Linked DNA regions of Diceros bicornis minor. The protein of the gene in region 1 purifies or fractionates together with the protein of each later gene. This does not show direct contact. Links are inferred from orthologs where the notes say so. Each region holds a gene or a part of one and is shown on either strand. Other genes may lie near its edges.

Region 1 (7,455 bases):
CAACTCTATTCATTATTTGGTCTCCCAAGGCCAATAACTGAAGATTTTAACCCAATATACAAAGACTATCAAGTATTAGCCAGTATGAAAACACAAAGTAAGAGAAAAATATCAGATACTTTTTTTTAATGCTGAGTACATTTTGGATGTTTGAGACATCACAATATTTCACTGAACAAAATATTTGACTTTTAACAGGATGTGGCTATTTAAAGAAAGAAAACATTTGCAGAAGAAAATACTGATGTTTTGAGGCCCTAAGTTTTAACTGAGCAATTTATTTGCAGTACCATACTGCCTGTCCAATCTCACTGCTTTTCATGTATAGAATAAAGTCTACCTACTTAGTCTTTTTCATCCAAAACTATCATTTATCATTTCATTTGTGACAATCATAGATCACACAAAAATCAAGCTATAGTAGAGAACTCTTTTCTATTACCAAAACTTACTAAACCTTGGTAAAGGTTTTATCTGAAGGCAAAAATATTCTGGGCTTCTTGTTCTAGTTAGTTAAAAGTTTCCAGAAAATCAATCTCTTTTGGAAACTGATTTTTCTCAAGCAATGCAACATAAGTTGATCCTATTACTTTGCAAGTAGGTATGGAAAGATGATCTTTCCTTTTGGAGGAGAGACACAGAACAGCTCCACTAACAAGTCAACTACTTCAAAACTTAGGGTGTATGGCAGTCTCAGATGCTGCCTTCATAAATGTCAACAGACCAGCCATTTTTACTAGATACAATAATAGATCTCTAGAATTTTACCTAGAGCCTTCTCCTATTTTTTCAAATATTTGCCACTTTGAGGTGCACATTTTATGATCTGAATCAAATCAACTTGTCTTTTCTTTACTTCATGAAATGAAAACTCAAGATGATCTAAATATTCTTAATATTGTATACTGACACTACAGAAATCAGAAACAAAGCTGATTACTTGTTTACACTAGGAGTGCAAAAAAGAAAAGGTAGCTTAAAAAAAGATACATTACTTGTAAATTTCTCAGACTAGCTAAAGCAAAAGGCAGGCTCAAAAATGAATCAAAGTGCCCAACACAACTGCAAAATAGGTTTTGGCATTGCATAGTCAGGATTCTTGGTGTATAAAGTTAGGACTAATATAGAAAACATGCCCTACTTCTCTCCTCCCTGTGCAATTTTCTCAGTTACAAGTTACATTACAAGCACTACCAACTTGGTTCTACCAATGACAGGAGAGCTGTCCTCACTACTAGCCTGGTTCTAAAATTTACAAAACAGTCTTTAAAAAGATCTCTAACGAAATAAAATCAGAGTAAGGATCACATAACAAAATGTTAAAATAAATGACTTAAAAACTTATTTCAGTATTTAAAGGAACTATGTAACAACTCCAAATACTTAATATTTTCAGAAACTATTCCAAAAGTTTCGCAAACATGTTAAATACAATATGGCTACAGCAAAGATTAGACAAATCCGAACCCAGTGCCAGAAACCAAGCCTCCAGCTTTCAGATTGAAAAGCTGTCCGCCCTACCTGAGGCGGTTAGATTCTTGGGGACAGAGGCCAATATCTTAGCAGCAAGTTAGGCCTCTTTCTCCCTCCGGGAAGCGCATGACAAACAGGGCGTCATGCAATTTATGTCACCCGGTCACTTAGCAAAAATAGCTAACTTCTGAACTTGGGTCCAGGTGGCCTTCTATACTCAAAAGAAATAGAGAGCAGCGAAGTATTGGGAGAGACGTGGGCTTAAAATGCCCCCCTTTCTAACCCTATAAACATTTAGCCCATCATTAGATCTGAGTCCTAGATTCTAAGACTTGCTTTAATGGAGGCCTCCCTCAACCTCCTCGGAGTCTCTGTTTTGCCACAGTGAAGGAACTTTTCCTGCTTTATCTCCGTTCCCTGTGAGCATGCGGCCCTGCCAATTCAATATCCTAAACCGGCAGGGAACGGTGGAGGAGGGAAGGGGAGAAATCCACGGCCAAAACAGCCCTCTTATGAAAGACAAAAAAAAAAATCTTAATTCCTCCTCCGCCCATAGCAAAACCCATCGCAGAAATTTACAGCGCGTTAAGAAAGGCAGCACTGCGAACTGCAAACGTAAGAGTTTTCCTTTGACTCCACGCACGGTTTTCAGCTGTCAAATTACAACTCAGGAAAACACTATCATTAGAATAAAAAAGGAAACAAAAAAGCTCGCACCACAGGGGCTGGGAGCAGGAGCTGCCAGCACCGTTTCGGAAGAAGGAGAGCAAAGGGAATCCAATCCACTTACCCACCCCCGCCTGAATTCAACCCCTCCCCAGGCTGGCAAACCTCACTGCAGGGGCTCAAATTTAATAATAATAACAATAATCATGGCGCTTCCTCCCTCCCCCCACCCCCACCGCGATCTGCCGGGAATCAGCCTCCCCCCTCCCCCGGGATCTCCAGGCTTGGCTGGTCCAGACCACCCGACCGGACACAGCTCCCGGGGGCCCGGGCGAGCCGAGCCTACCCCAGGGCCCCTCGCCCCGCTTCTCCTCTTCCCTCTCTTTTTACCTCCACCATCCCCCATCCGCATTGTCTGTCTCAATTCAACTTTGACTAATATGGATTCCTCGGGCCTGGGCCGGGCGGTAATTACAGCCCGCCCCCCCGGGAGCCGGATCCCCCCCCATCTCCGCGGAGTTCAACGCGGCTCCTCGGAGGGGGACGGGGGGGGGGGGAGGTTGCAGCGCGCTTTCCCGTCTACACCGCGCTCCCCCCGCGGCCCCGGGCCCCCAGGACCAGAAGTTTGCCCCGGAAGGGGCCTAGCCAGGGGCAATGTGGACCCCCCGGCCGGCCGGCCGGCGCGTAAACACGGGCGCCTGCCCCGGCGCGGCCCCGTGGGGGAGGGGAGGGCGGGGAGGCGCCCCTCCCCCCGCCCGCCCGCCCGCCGGCCCCATTACCTGTCATTGAGCTGGTCCTCGGTGCCCGGCAGCGGGTGAACCACGAAATGGATGGACGTCATGGTGCTTCCTTCTCGTCCTCTCCTCGAGGACGGCCCCCTCCCGCTCTCGCCCGCCCCCCCCAAACCCCCTTCCCCTCCCAAAACCCACAGCCGCCGCCGCCGCCTCCCAGTCCCCAAATGGAGGGAAGCAAATGCGCAGGGGCCGCCGCCACCTCCCTGCCGGGCGTGTGTCCGCGGCCCCGCGGTCCGGCGGGGCGGGCGGATCAACACGCCACCCGCTCCCCCGGCGACAGCGCGCAGGAGTGCAAGGCCGGCGGCCGGGACACGGGGCGCGCCGCCGCCAGCGGCAGCCGGGCGTCGGGAGAGGGGGCGACTGGGAGGGCGGAGAGGGGCGGGCTGCGGGGACGGTGTGGTCCCGGCGGCGGACGGGGTCCGGACTAGGGAGGTGGGGAGAGATGAGCCCGCACCGCGCGTCACTGGCGAGAAGCCGCCGCCGCCGCCGCCAGCACCGCCGCCGCCATCTTCACTTCTGCCCCAGTTTCTCCGTCTCGCAGGCTCCGCTCCCGAGCGGCGGGGGAGGGGCGAACGGGAGGAGGAGGAGGAGGAGGAGGAGGAGGAGGGAGGAGACCGGCGGGCGGGGGCTCGGCTGCGAGGGGGCGGGGCTCCGGGAAACGGGCGGTAAGGCCCTTCCGATTGGGCGGCTCAACGTTGTCGGGCCACGACGCTGTAAGACGCGCGCGGATTGGTCCGCTCGGCCCCCGAGCCCGGCCCCCGGGAGGTGGGATGTCTCCCGAGTGAGTGTTCCGGAGAGCACGTGTTAGGGAAGGAGGAGGCGCAGGGGCGAGCCCGCCGGCGGGGAGGGAGTCCGGGAGGAGGCTGAGAGTGTGTCCCCGGGGAAGTGGGAAGCAAAAGGGGCTCCCGCGTCCGTCCTCTCTCTGATTTCCCTGAGGCAGCCCTAATTATTTTGCAGACCCTTAGGGGTTTTTTGTTGTTGTTTCTCGTCCTTGATCCGCAATTATATTTAAAGTGGCAGTGTAAAATCGGTGAAAGGGCAAGAAATACACAGCCTTTTATTGGAGAAGTAAGGTAGTTATATAAGGACCTTTCCAGAAAGTCCTATCGTAGGATCATAAAGCTGACTTTGCAGCAACTTCTTGATCACCCTAGTCTCCCCGATTTCTCCACCACCACCATCACATACCGGCACAAAGACAAAATGTGGAAATTTCCACCGATTTCCTGATGTAAATGATTCATGATTTTTTGTTTTTACTACTTTTAAAAGAAAGATGATATATCACTTTTACAAAGGCGTTCTTCAACTTAGGATCAGTGGGATCGTAAAGGCAAATTCTTGAATGGATCTATCTGCTTTTTTCTAGGGAACCAGCTCCTAGCTTTTTTCTCAAAGGCTTCTATGACTCCTTCAAAAAATCAAGTACTTCTTTCAAGACAAAAAGTGAAAACATGAAGCTTCTTCTCCAGCCTGTGTGGATGTTCGTTAAATCGGGGGTCCTGTGAAACGGTCTTAACGTTAAGTACCACTTTTCTTCTGTTAATGCATTATATACACACAAACTTTTGCTTAGGACGTTCCTTTGAGCAAAATATATGAAAATTTATTTATAAATCAGGATAGAGTAGGTACCCCTTGAGACAGATAACGGAACACTTTTGTAGGTCACCAGCTCCAAAATTGGCCCAGATTAGTTTAGACTAAAAAGTGATTTCAAGGCCGCTATTTATTAGAAGTCCACGCCAGCCATGGGGAAGCAGGGTAGATCAATGGACACTGCTAGTTTTAGAGCCATACAGACCTGGGTTTGTGTCCTGTTCCTGCTGCTTTGCTTTGTGACCTTGATTAAATTATTTAACCTATCGTAGTGTCTTTTCTCAATTGTAAGATATTTCATAGTAGTAGATCTACATAGGGTTGTGGTGAAGTCTACATAAGATAATGTATGCCAAGCACCTGGAGCACTTCATAACACTTAGTAGGCTCAGAAAATGGAAGTTTTTATTTGTCAAGTGCTCACTATGTAACACTTTATACACATGTCTTTTAATGCTCAAATCACACTATGGGGTAAATAATATCATCCCCATTATGAGGATGAGGATACTGAGGCTCGACACCTTAGGTAAGTGCTGAAGCTGAGACTTAAACCCAGGTCATCTAACTCTGATTCCATTGCTCTTTCCACTATAGCACAGCTGCCATCTAGTTAATAATTTAGAAGGAACAGACTGTTCAAAGCCAATAGGAAAAATGTGATATGATAAATGCAATAAGAGTGCCATGGAAGTTAAAGGAGGAAGCGATTGCAGCCAAGAGAATTAAGAAAAGTCATTTAAGCTGAGCTTTCAAGAATGTCCTGGGCAAATAGAGTATCTGGCTTAAACCTAGTCATTTTTAGATTTGCCCCTAAACAAACTCCACACCATACCCATACTTGCTTCATTACTCTTTCTTCCAAATCTGTCTTTCTTCATCTTTTCATTATGCTTCCACCCTGCTTCCAACTTGATTTACCCACTCCTAGTTTCCTGGAACAGAGACTTTCCCTCCTGGTTGAAGGCTGGTCCCCTGCCTCCAGGCAGCCCATTCAAACTGCCCAGTTGGTTTTTGACTGACAACCATCTTGGCATTGCAACCTTTTTGTTGTCCCAGGCTGGCGTGTTAGGGAGAATTTTCCTCTCCCAGGGCCCCAAAACTTTGGTGGGTCACACTTTGAACAAGGAAAAACAAGAATAAAGGCATGGAGTTGTGCAAGCCCATCACATGGATGGAGGAGGGGGGAATACAAGTAGGGAATGGTGATAAGCAGGGTTCAAGCAGAAGCTGTTTGAAGAGTCAAAGTGGAATACTCGCCTAGAAAAGATGGCTGAGGGGCCTCTTTTCTAATAATTTGGACTAATTCTCCCTTTGAGAACAGCTAGAAATGTTAGACAAAATATTTCTTTAAGTCTGCTTAAAAGCAGAAGAATGTTAACAAAATGATGAATTACCAAACCAGGATCCAAAGGATGAATAAGACCCAAAGAAGTGAGTCCTGGTTTGTGTTTGGAGCCACTTTTTCCGCTGGGATAAGCGCCAATTCCAGAAAGAGGGAGAAGCCAAGAGGCTAAGCAGTTCTTCTGACAAGCACTGAGGGCTAAGACAACAGGGATTGATGTCCAAGCTCCCCCAATGCAGTGGGGAGTGCTAATGACCTCTCTTACTTTGTGCTGAGCCCTGAAGGACTGCACCCCTGAAAAAGGTCATGTCTTTAGATTTGGTTTCCCCCAAAACAGACCTGGAAACAAGGATTTGGCTATAAATAGTTTATTTAGGAAGTGATTGCAGGAAGCACTGTGTGGGGATGGAGAAATGAGACAGGGAAGGGAGAAAACCCAATAAAAGATGGGCTGAAGAATGTTTTACCACTGTGGGCAACTGGAATTCAATCCCACTGGGGACCATCTGAGAGACTGTGTGGGACACACCTCAGAGTTATTGCCACTGAGCGGGGAGCAAGCAAGCTGGAGGTATTTATCCATCAACCCATCCCTTGGGTTGTTAACTCCCTGACACATCAAGCTTTCCTCACTTGTGGGCAAAGCACATTTCTACAGCTAAAGAATAGCCTCAAGAATGAAAGAAAAATAAAGACATTCACAAAAAGAAAAAGAAATGTGAGACATTCTTAGCAGGCACCCCATACTAAAGGGTATTTTTCAGGCAAAAGGAAAATAATTCCCCAGTGTAAGTTCAGAAAGGCATAAAAGGAAGAAGCCGAATGAAAAGGGAAAATACGTAGGTATATGAATGTTGGTTGACTAAAACAATGGGGCTTAAAAATCCAAGACACTAACAACACCAAATGCTCGCAAGGATGTAGAGCGACAAGAAGTCTCATCCATTGTTGGTGGGAATGCAAAATGGTGCAGCCACTTGAGAAGAAGTTTGGTGGTTTCTTACAAAACAAAACATACTCTTAACATATGATCCAGCAATCATGCTTCTTGGTATTTACCCAAAGGACTTGAAAACTTATGACCTGCACAGAGATGTTTATAGCAGCTTTATTCATAATTGCCAAAACTTGGATGCAACCAAGATGTCCTTCAGTAGGTGAATGCATAAATAAACTGTGGTTCATCCACACAATGGAATATCATTCAGCACTAAAAGAAATGAGCTATCAAACCATGAAAAAATGTGGAGGAATCTTAAATGCATATTACTAAGTGAAAGAAGCCAATCTGAAAGTCTACATACTCTATGATTCCAGCTATATGACGTTCTGGAAAAGGCAAAACTATGGAGACAGTAAAAAGAGAGAGAAGGATGAATAGGCAGAGCACAGAGGATTTTTAGGGCAGTGAAAATAGTCTGTATAATACTATAATGGTGCATAAATGTCATTATAAATTTGTCCAAACCCATAGAATATACAATACCAGGAATGAACCCTAATGTGAACTATGAACTCTGGATGATAATGATGTAGCAATGTAGGTTAATCAGTTGTAACAAATGGACCACTCTGGTG
Region 2 (7,346 bases), on another chromosome or scaffold:
CACGCTTCCAAAATCTGACAAGTTTGTCAATAGGAAGAAAATGGAGGAAATGTAAATGAAAGAGTTTCTATCATTTTGAAAATCACATTATAAAAATTGAAGTAGCCTCTCTAGGATTTCTTGTGAGGGATCCTTCACAGTCTAAAGGAAATGAAGTTTGTGAATAGTACAATTCTATTCTAATTTTTGCTGTGACTTTCAGTGTCCTAACTTTTTCCAGTTTATTTCTTACGGATTATTTTTGGAAAATATGTGATGCTTTTTTAAGGAAAAGAAATCCTCTAATACCTTTCTTTACTTTCGCTTGTCTGTGTTTGTTTCATAAATCTTGGAGGATCAAGCTGTGATCATTCTGGAAGTCCTGTGGCAAGCTCCAATTTGGAATGATTGTGGATTTTTTGCGATTTAGAAGGGAGAAGGAAATACTTTTAAAATTGGCTTATGCCAGTCTCCTTACTTTGTAATTTTCAGTTTTCTTGTGTTAGGGGATAAAGATCAATAAAATTTCATCTCACCAGATTGCAACAACATTGTCCTAAACATTGGAATTTTCCTTTATTTTTGGCTTTTAAAATCAGGAACTTTTCTTGGGTTGCCGTACTTCTCTTTTTAGCTTTATTCGCCTCTTGCCACATTGCTGAATGACCTCGTTCACTGCAGTCTGATCCCTGCTCTGGTCACTCTCAGTGGAGATGGCTGGAAGGTTAGGATCCGGAGGAAACATGACAAAAAAGGGAGGAAAAAACCCTTCATTTGGCCAAATCTGCCTCCTAATATATTTAACCAGTTCCAGAATTAGAAAGCCTCTCTGTACATTTTCTTCTATTTTTCTCTCTTTTTTTTTCCCTTACGTAATGAAATTAAAACTTTTGGAGCCCACAGTTGACATTTTTCAGAAAATTGAGTTATCAAGGCAGTAATTATTTCACGGGGAGATAAAACTCTCATAGCCCTAACTGTCAAATAGGGCCCTTTTCAGATTTTAATTACAAAATAAAATTAGTCTGCTCTTCCTCGGAATGGTTTGTGAGTGGTTAAACAGAGCTTTCCCCCCAATACTGGTGGTCGTCAAACTCTGCTAATTAGCAATGCTGAGAAATTCCAGTTAACAAGGACATTCTCCAAGACTCTGCAGGTTCCCTGCCGTTTGCCTTCATTTCCATAAGAAGATTAAGAGAGGAGGGGAACACACTCAAATGCAGATGCAGAAAAGAAGCGTTTTTTAACAAGCATCATAATAGTAAGATGCTTGGCTAGTTCTCACCTAATTACTGCAAGTTAAACCTCTATTTGCCACTAAGAAGAAAAAATAAGTCTACAGTCCCCTATCTCCACAAAATTGTTAGTTGGCTTCAGATATAGTACTTGAGGAGGGATGAGGGGAGTTGAGGAGAGAAATATCAATGCAAGAGATTTGTAAATAAAATTGAGTTCCACTTAATCAGTTAAGGATTTGGGGCTGGGGCCTATAGTAGAACAAAATCAAATCAGAATATCCCAGGGGTTATGCATTTTTGTTCATAATTTCTAATCTTGCTCTAAAAGTGTGCAGCTTTTTGCTGTGTATGGAAGGGAAATGTTACCCTCTCTTTAGATTAAGCACTTTCAATTTTCATAAATGGTGCCAATGGCAACATTTTAAATTCTCAGAGGATGAAGCACCCTCTTCCGAGTCTTATTTTGATTCCCTGGGAGTCAATGGCATATTGTTATTAGTCCTGTAGCCGTCTGTTATAAACCTAAAACAGTGCTGCTTCTGTCATCTATTATGATTGTTGTAGTTATTATTATATTTAGGGGCCAGTGATGGTGCTGGATTGAAATAGAGTGGCCGGTGATCTGATTTTTTTAATGCATATGTTCTAAAAAGTCTAATGAGAAAATTGTTTCTGCTATCACCATCTTCTTTAATCTTATTTTCATAGCACATTATTATGCATAAACGCCAGCCACAGTTAGTTTATTGCCTTGATAAGTACAGCAGGCTTAATTAAAATAAAGCTGTAAATAAATGCAACCAATGATAACACAATTGCAATGTATTTCCATAGCTTATTTATATGATAAAAGCAATTAACAAAAAGACCTAGCCAGCCCCTTTAACCTCTTAAATGCATTATTATAGAGTTCAGGCACAAACACATGCATCTGAGAATGTATAAAAGCTTTTATACATCATCCCAAGGAAAAATTTGTGCCTCTTACTACTTACTACCCCTTGAGAGACAGAGAGATTAAAAATATTTGCTTCTATAACCATCCGTTATTAATACTTATTTCAATTCATATACACCACCATTATCCACACCAACTCCCTGATTTTTTTCTTCAAACTTAATTATCCATAAGCTTTTTTTTTAGTTTTCAGAATAATGCAGTTAGGCGCAGACCAATGTATACGCAATCATAAAGTGAATGCTTGGTCTGCCCTTCGTGGCGTCTGGACAATCATAATTCATTCATATGTTGAATCTCATAATTTGTGCCTATTTTTTTCCCATGGTTTAACCTCCCACTTATCTAGAGGTTATATGTACATTTCTAAGTTAAGCAAATTAAATCTAATTCTTACGATTGATTCCATAGCTTATATGATATGTTAACTTTTCTTTTGTTTAGATTACGTGTAATTAGTTTGATCTTCCTCCCATCCCCCTCATTTTTTTTTCTGTAATTATTTCCAAACACCTTCTTTTAAAGGTAAAAGCAATAGTCTTGGAAAAGCGAATCCACCAGTAGGGGGCGCACCAGCCACATCTCTGAAACCATACGCGCTGAAAAGCCGGTGGCCGCCTTCTCTTCTCCAGATCCTCTCAACCTTTTCTCTTTCCTAATCTCCAGGTCCGTGTTTAGCTTAATATTACACCTCGCATAAACAGAAGACATTGCTTTCTTTTGAAGAGTGCCATATATTGATGCTTTTCGAGAAAGCCAGTCTCATACTTCCCGCGTTCCTAAGAACTAAAACAAACCATAACTTAATAGAAAAAAGAGAACCTGCAGGGGGAGGGAAGGTTGATTGGTAATAATTTATTACGACAAGTCTGTAGAATTCCTTTTACAACTTTTCTGGGTTTCCAGGGAGCACAGTTATCTTGAGTTGGACAAGAACAGAAAAGCCTGAGAGGGCAGGGATTGGAGAAGTTGGACTGGGGGCCGGGGTAGGGGAGAGGGCAGTTATGGGAAGAAGGTTAGTAAGGAACAAAACAATGCACAGTTTTGTAAAGATAATAAATGGAACGTGGCCGACAGATACTATTCAGTACATTTTCTTAGGGTGAGTAAGGGTAGATCAGGGGAGGAGGGGGCGGAGAGAGTGTTACAGAAGAAAGAAAATAAGTAACCCTGATGGTTTAAGCCCTTTATAAAAAAGAAATGGCATCAAGGGTTTTTTCTCCACAACCCCCCCCCTCCCCTTTGTAGTCAAGTGCATTTTAGCCACAAAGATCCCAACAAGAGAGTGGAAGGAAACTTAGACGGGTCTTTGTTTGACTCCGTGTAGCGACAACAAGAGAAACAAAACTACCTATTTGTAACGGACGTGCTGCCATTGCTCTCCGCATTGAGCGCCTACCTATTGAAATCTTTACGTTGGGACAATGGGAGAGCGGCTAAAATTACCCTCTTGGGTCCTGGGCGGGCAGGATTCCTGAGCCCTTACCCCCGCCCCCATCCCATCCTCCTCCAGCCCTAGCCTTGCTGGGCTCCCCCGTCCCCAGTCCCGGCCGCCCTCCTCTTGCCTGCACTGCCTGCACCTGTGCCTGGCGAGCACCACCCCTGCCCCCAAGGCCTAGGGCCCCCTCGGAGCGCAGCCCCAACCCGAGCGGCCCCGGCCAGGCGGCCACCACGGGAGAAGTCACTGGAGGAAATGCCAGGGCTGGTTCTGCTGGAGTCCTGGGAACTCTGCGTGGGAGGGAGTTTGTGAGTGCGGCCCAAGCCACCTCCACACAGTGCGGTGGGATGCCAGGAAGTTGAGATTCCCCTCCCCCATAGCCCGCACTTCTGAGCGCCCTTCTGTGGATCTTTCTTCGCCCAGCCCCCTTTTGCAACCCGCACAAGTGAAATCCCTCCTTGAGGGAGGCTCAGGAGGAGAATGGGGAGAGGACGAGAACACGAGCATCCCCTTTGCACCGACTGAATGGAGAAAGACTGGTGGGCGATGTGGCTGGGGGTAAGGGGACAGGCTGCGGGTCCCCGCGCCAGAGAGCCGGGCCGGGCGGCAGCTCACCCAGGCCCGGCCTGGCCTCGGCTCTCGAGTCGGCCGCAGAGGCCGAGCAGGATTTATTTTAACAGCAGAGCAAACTACGTGGAAGCAGGGAGCGTTCTGAGGACAGAGCTTTCCGTGTCCTAACTTCTCGTCGGGGCAGAGTGAGAAGGGGCCGAGCGAGGGCCGGGCCCCGCGGAGGAAGAGGGGCGAGGGCCAGAGCGGGGTGAGGGAGAAGCAGCCGAGGGCCGGCGTGGGGGCAGCGTGCGGAGGAGCGGGAGAACAATGACACACCAACTCCAGCGCGGCCCGTTTCCTGAAATACTAGTAGGACAGTCGCCCAGAACCACCCACTCGGCCCTGCCCTGCCCCCACCCCGTAGCTGCTTCTCGCGCCCCTTCCTCATTTCAGCAGCCCGCACCAGAAAGTAAATCCACATTAAGTTTAAGGAAGAAAAAAATCGTAGTCTTAGTGCTGTTTACCCACTTCCTTCGAAAAGGCGTGTGGTGTGACCTGTTGCTGCGAGAGGGGATACAAAGGTTTCTCAGTGGCTGGCAGGCTGGCTGTGGGAGCCGCCTCCCCCTCCCCTCCCCTCCCCTCCTCCCCGCCTCCCCCTCCCCGCGTCCCCCGCCTCCCCCGCGCGCCCGGCGGCGCGGCAGGCCCCGCCCCCTTTCATGCAAAACCCGGCGGCGAGGCCGGGCTCGAGTGGAGGAGCCGCCGCGCGCTGATTGGTCGCCGGAAACCCATTTATTCCCTGACAGCCCCCGTCACATGGATGGTTGTCTATTAACTTGTTCAAAAAAGTATCAGGAGTTGTCAAGGCAGAGAAGAGAGTGTTTGCAAAAGGGGGAAAGTAGTTTGCTGCCTCTTTAAGACTAGGACTGAGAGAAAGAAGAGGAGAGAGAAAGAAAGGGAGAGAAGTTTGAGCCCCAGGCTTAAGCCTTTCCAAAAAATAATAATAACAATCATCGGCGGCGGCGGGATCGGCCAGAAGAGGAGGAAGCGCTTTTTTTGATCCTGATTCCAGTTTGCCTCTCTCTCTCTTTTCTTCCCCCAAACTATTCTTCGTCTGATTTTCCTCGCGGAGCCCTGCGCTCCCGACACCCCCGCCCGCCTCCCCTCCTCCGCTCCCCCCGCCCGCGGGCCCCCCAAAGTCCCGGCCGGGCCGAGGGTCGGCGGCCGCCGGCGGGCCGGGCCGCGCACAGCGCCCGCATGTACAACATGATGGAGACGGAGCTCAAGCCGCCGGGCCCGCAGCAAACTTCGGGGGGCGGCGGCGGCGGCGGCGGCAACTCCACCGCGGCGGCGGCGGGCGGCAACCAGAAGAACAGCCCGGACCGCGTCAAGCGGCCCATGAACGCCTTCATGGTGTGGTCCCGCGGGCAGCGGCGCAAGATGGCCCAAGAGAACCCCAAGATGCACAACTCGGAGATCAGCAAGCGCCTGGGCGCCGAGTGGAAACTTTTGTCGGAGACGGAGAAGCGGCCGTTCATCGACGAGGCCAAGCGGCTGCGAGCGCTGCACATGAAGGAGCACCCGGATTATAAATACCGGCCCCGGCGGAAAACCAAGACGCTCATGAAGAAGGATAAGTACACGCTGCCTGGCGGGCTGCTGGCCCCCGGCGGCAACAGCATGGCGAGCGGGGTCGGGGTGGGCGCCGGCCTCGGCGCGGGCGTGAACCAGCGCATGGACAGCTACGCGCACATGAACGGCTGGAGCAACGGCAGCTACAGCATGATGCAGGACCAGCTGGGCTACCCGCAGCACCCGGGCCTCAACGCGCACGGCGCCGCGCAGATGCAGCCCATGCACCGCTACGACGTGAGCGCCCTGCAGTACAACTCCATGACCAGCTCGCAGACCTACATGAACGGCTCGCCCACTTACAGCATGTCCTACTCGCAGCAGGGCACCCCGGGCATGGCGCTCGGCTCCATGGGCTCGGTGGTCAAGTCCGAGGCCAGCTCCAGCCCCCCCGTGGTTACCTCTTCCTCCCACTCCAGGGCGCCCTGCCAGGCCGGGGACCTCCGGGACATGATCAGCATGTACCTCCCCGGCGCCGAGGTGCCGGAGCCCGCCGCCCCCAGCAGACTTCACATGTCCCAGCACTACCAGAGCGGCCCGGTGCCCGGCACGGCCATTAACGGCACACTGCCCCTCTCGCACATGTGAGGGCCGGACAGTGAACTGGAGGTGGGGGAGAAATTTTCAAAGAAAAACGAGGGAAATAGGAGGAGAGTAAGAAACAGCATGGAGAAAAACCCGGTACGCTAAAAAAAAAAAAAAAAAAAGTCATCACCCACAGCAAATGACAGCTGCAACAGAGAACACCAATCCCATCCACGCTCACGCAAAAACCGCGATGCCGACAAGAAAACTTTTATGAGAGATCCTGGACTTCTTTTTGGGGGACTATTTTTGTACAGAGAAAACCGGGGGGGTGGGGTGGGGAGGGCGAGGGAATGGACCTTGTATAGATCTGGAGGAAAGAAAGCTACGCAAAACTTTTTAAAAGTTCTAGTGATACGGTAGGAGCTTTGCAGAAAGTTTGCAAAAGTCTTTACCAATAATATTTAGAGCTAGTCTCCAAGCGACGAAAAAAATGTTTTAATATTTGCAAGCAACTTTTGTACAGTATTTATCGAGATAAACATGGCAATCAAAATGTCCATTGTTTATAAGCTGAGAATTTGCCAATATTTTTCAAGGAGAGGCTTCTTGCTGAATTTTGATTCTGCAGCTGAAATTTAGGACAGTTGCAAACGTGGAAAGAAGAAAATTATTCAGATTTGGACATTTTAATTGATTAAAAATTGTACAAAAGGAAAAAATTAGAATAAGCACTGGCAAAACCATCTCCGTGGTCTTCTTTAAAGGGGCAAAAGTTTTAGATTGTACTAAATTTTTTTTAACTTACTGTTAAAAGCAAAAATGGCCTGCAGGTTGACACAATTGGTAATTTATAATAGCTTTTGTTTCCCAACTTTCCATTTTGTTCAGATAAAAAAACAACATGAAATTACTGTGTTTGAAATATTTTCTTATGGTTTGTAATATTTCTGTAAATTTATTGTGATATTTTAAGGTTTTCCCCCTTTTATTTTCCGTAGTTGTATTTTAAAGATTCGGCTCTGTATTA

The links.
Region 2: the proteins of UBR5 (region 1) and SOX2 purify together in Homo sapiens (affinity purification with western blotting; 3 studies listed by BioGRID and IntAct, with this or other methods). This does not show direct contact. The link is inferred for Diceros bicornis minor from reciprocal best matches to the Homo sapiens genes UBR5 and SOX2.

What each region holds. Positions count from the first base shown.
Region 1 is NC_080760.1:20,706,954-20,714,408, forward strand, and holds the start of UBR5 (E3 ubiquitin-protein ligase UBR5), read right to left. Parts: upstream 3,011-7,455; 5' UTR 2,981-3,010; coding exon 2,919-2,980; intron 1-2,918. UniProt on the Homo sapiens protein: E3 ubiquitin-protein ligase involved in different protein quality control pathways in the cytoplasm and nucleus. Mainly acts as a ubiquitin chain elongator that extends pre-ubiquitinated substrates.
Region 2 is NC_080754.1:41,644,221-41,651,566, reverse strand, and holds SOX2 (transcription factor SOX-2), read left to right. Parts: upstream 1-5,145; 5' UTR 5,146-5,416; coding exon 5,417-6,379; 3' UTR 6,380-6,645; downstream 6,646-7,346. UniProt on the Homo sapiens protein: Transcription factor that forms a trimeric complex with OCT4 on DNA and controls the expression of a number of genes involved in embryonic development such as YES1, FGF4, UTF1 and ZFP206. Binds to the proximal enhancer region of NANOG.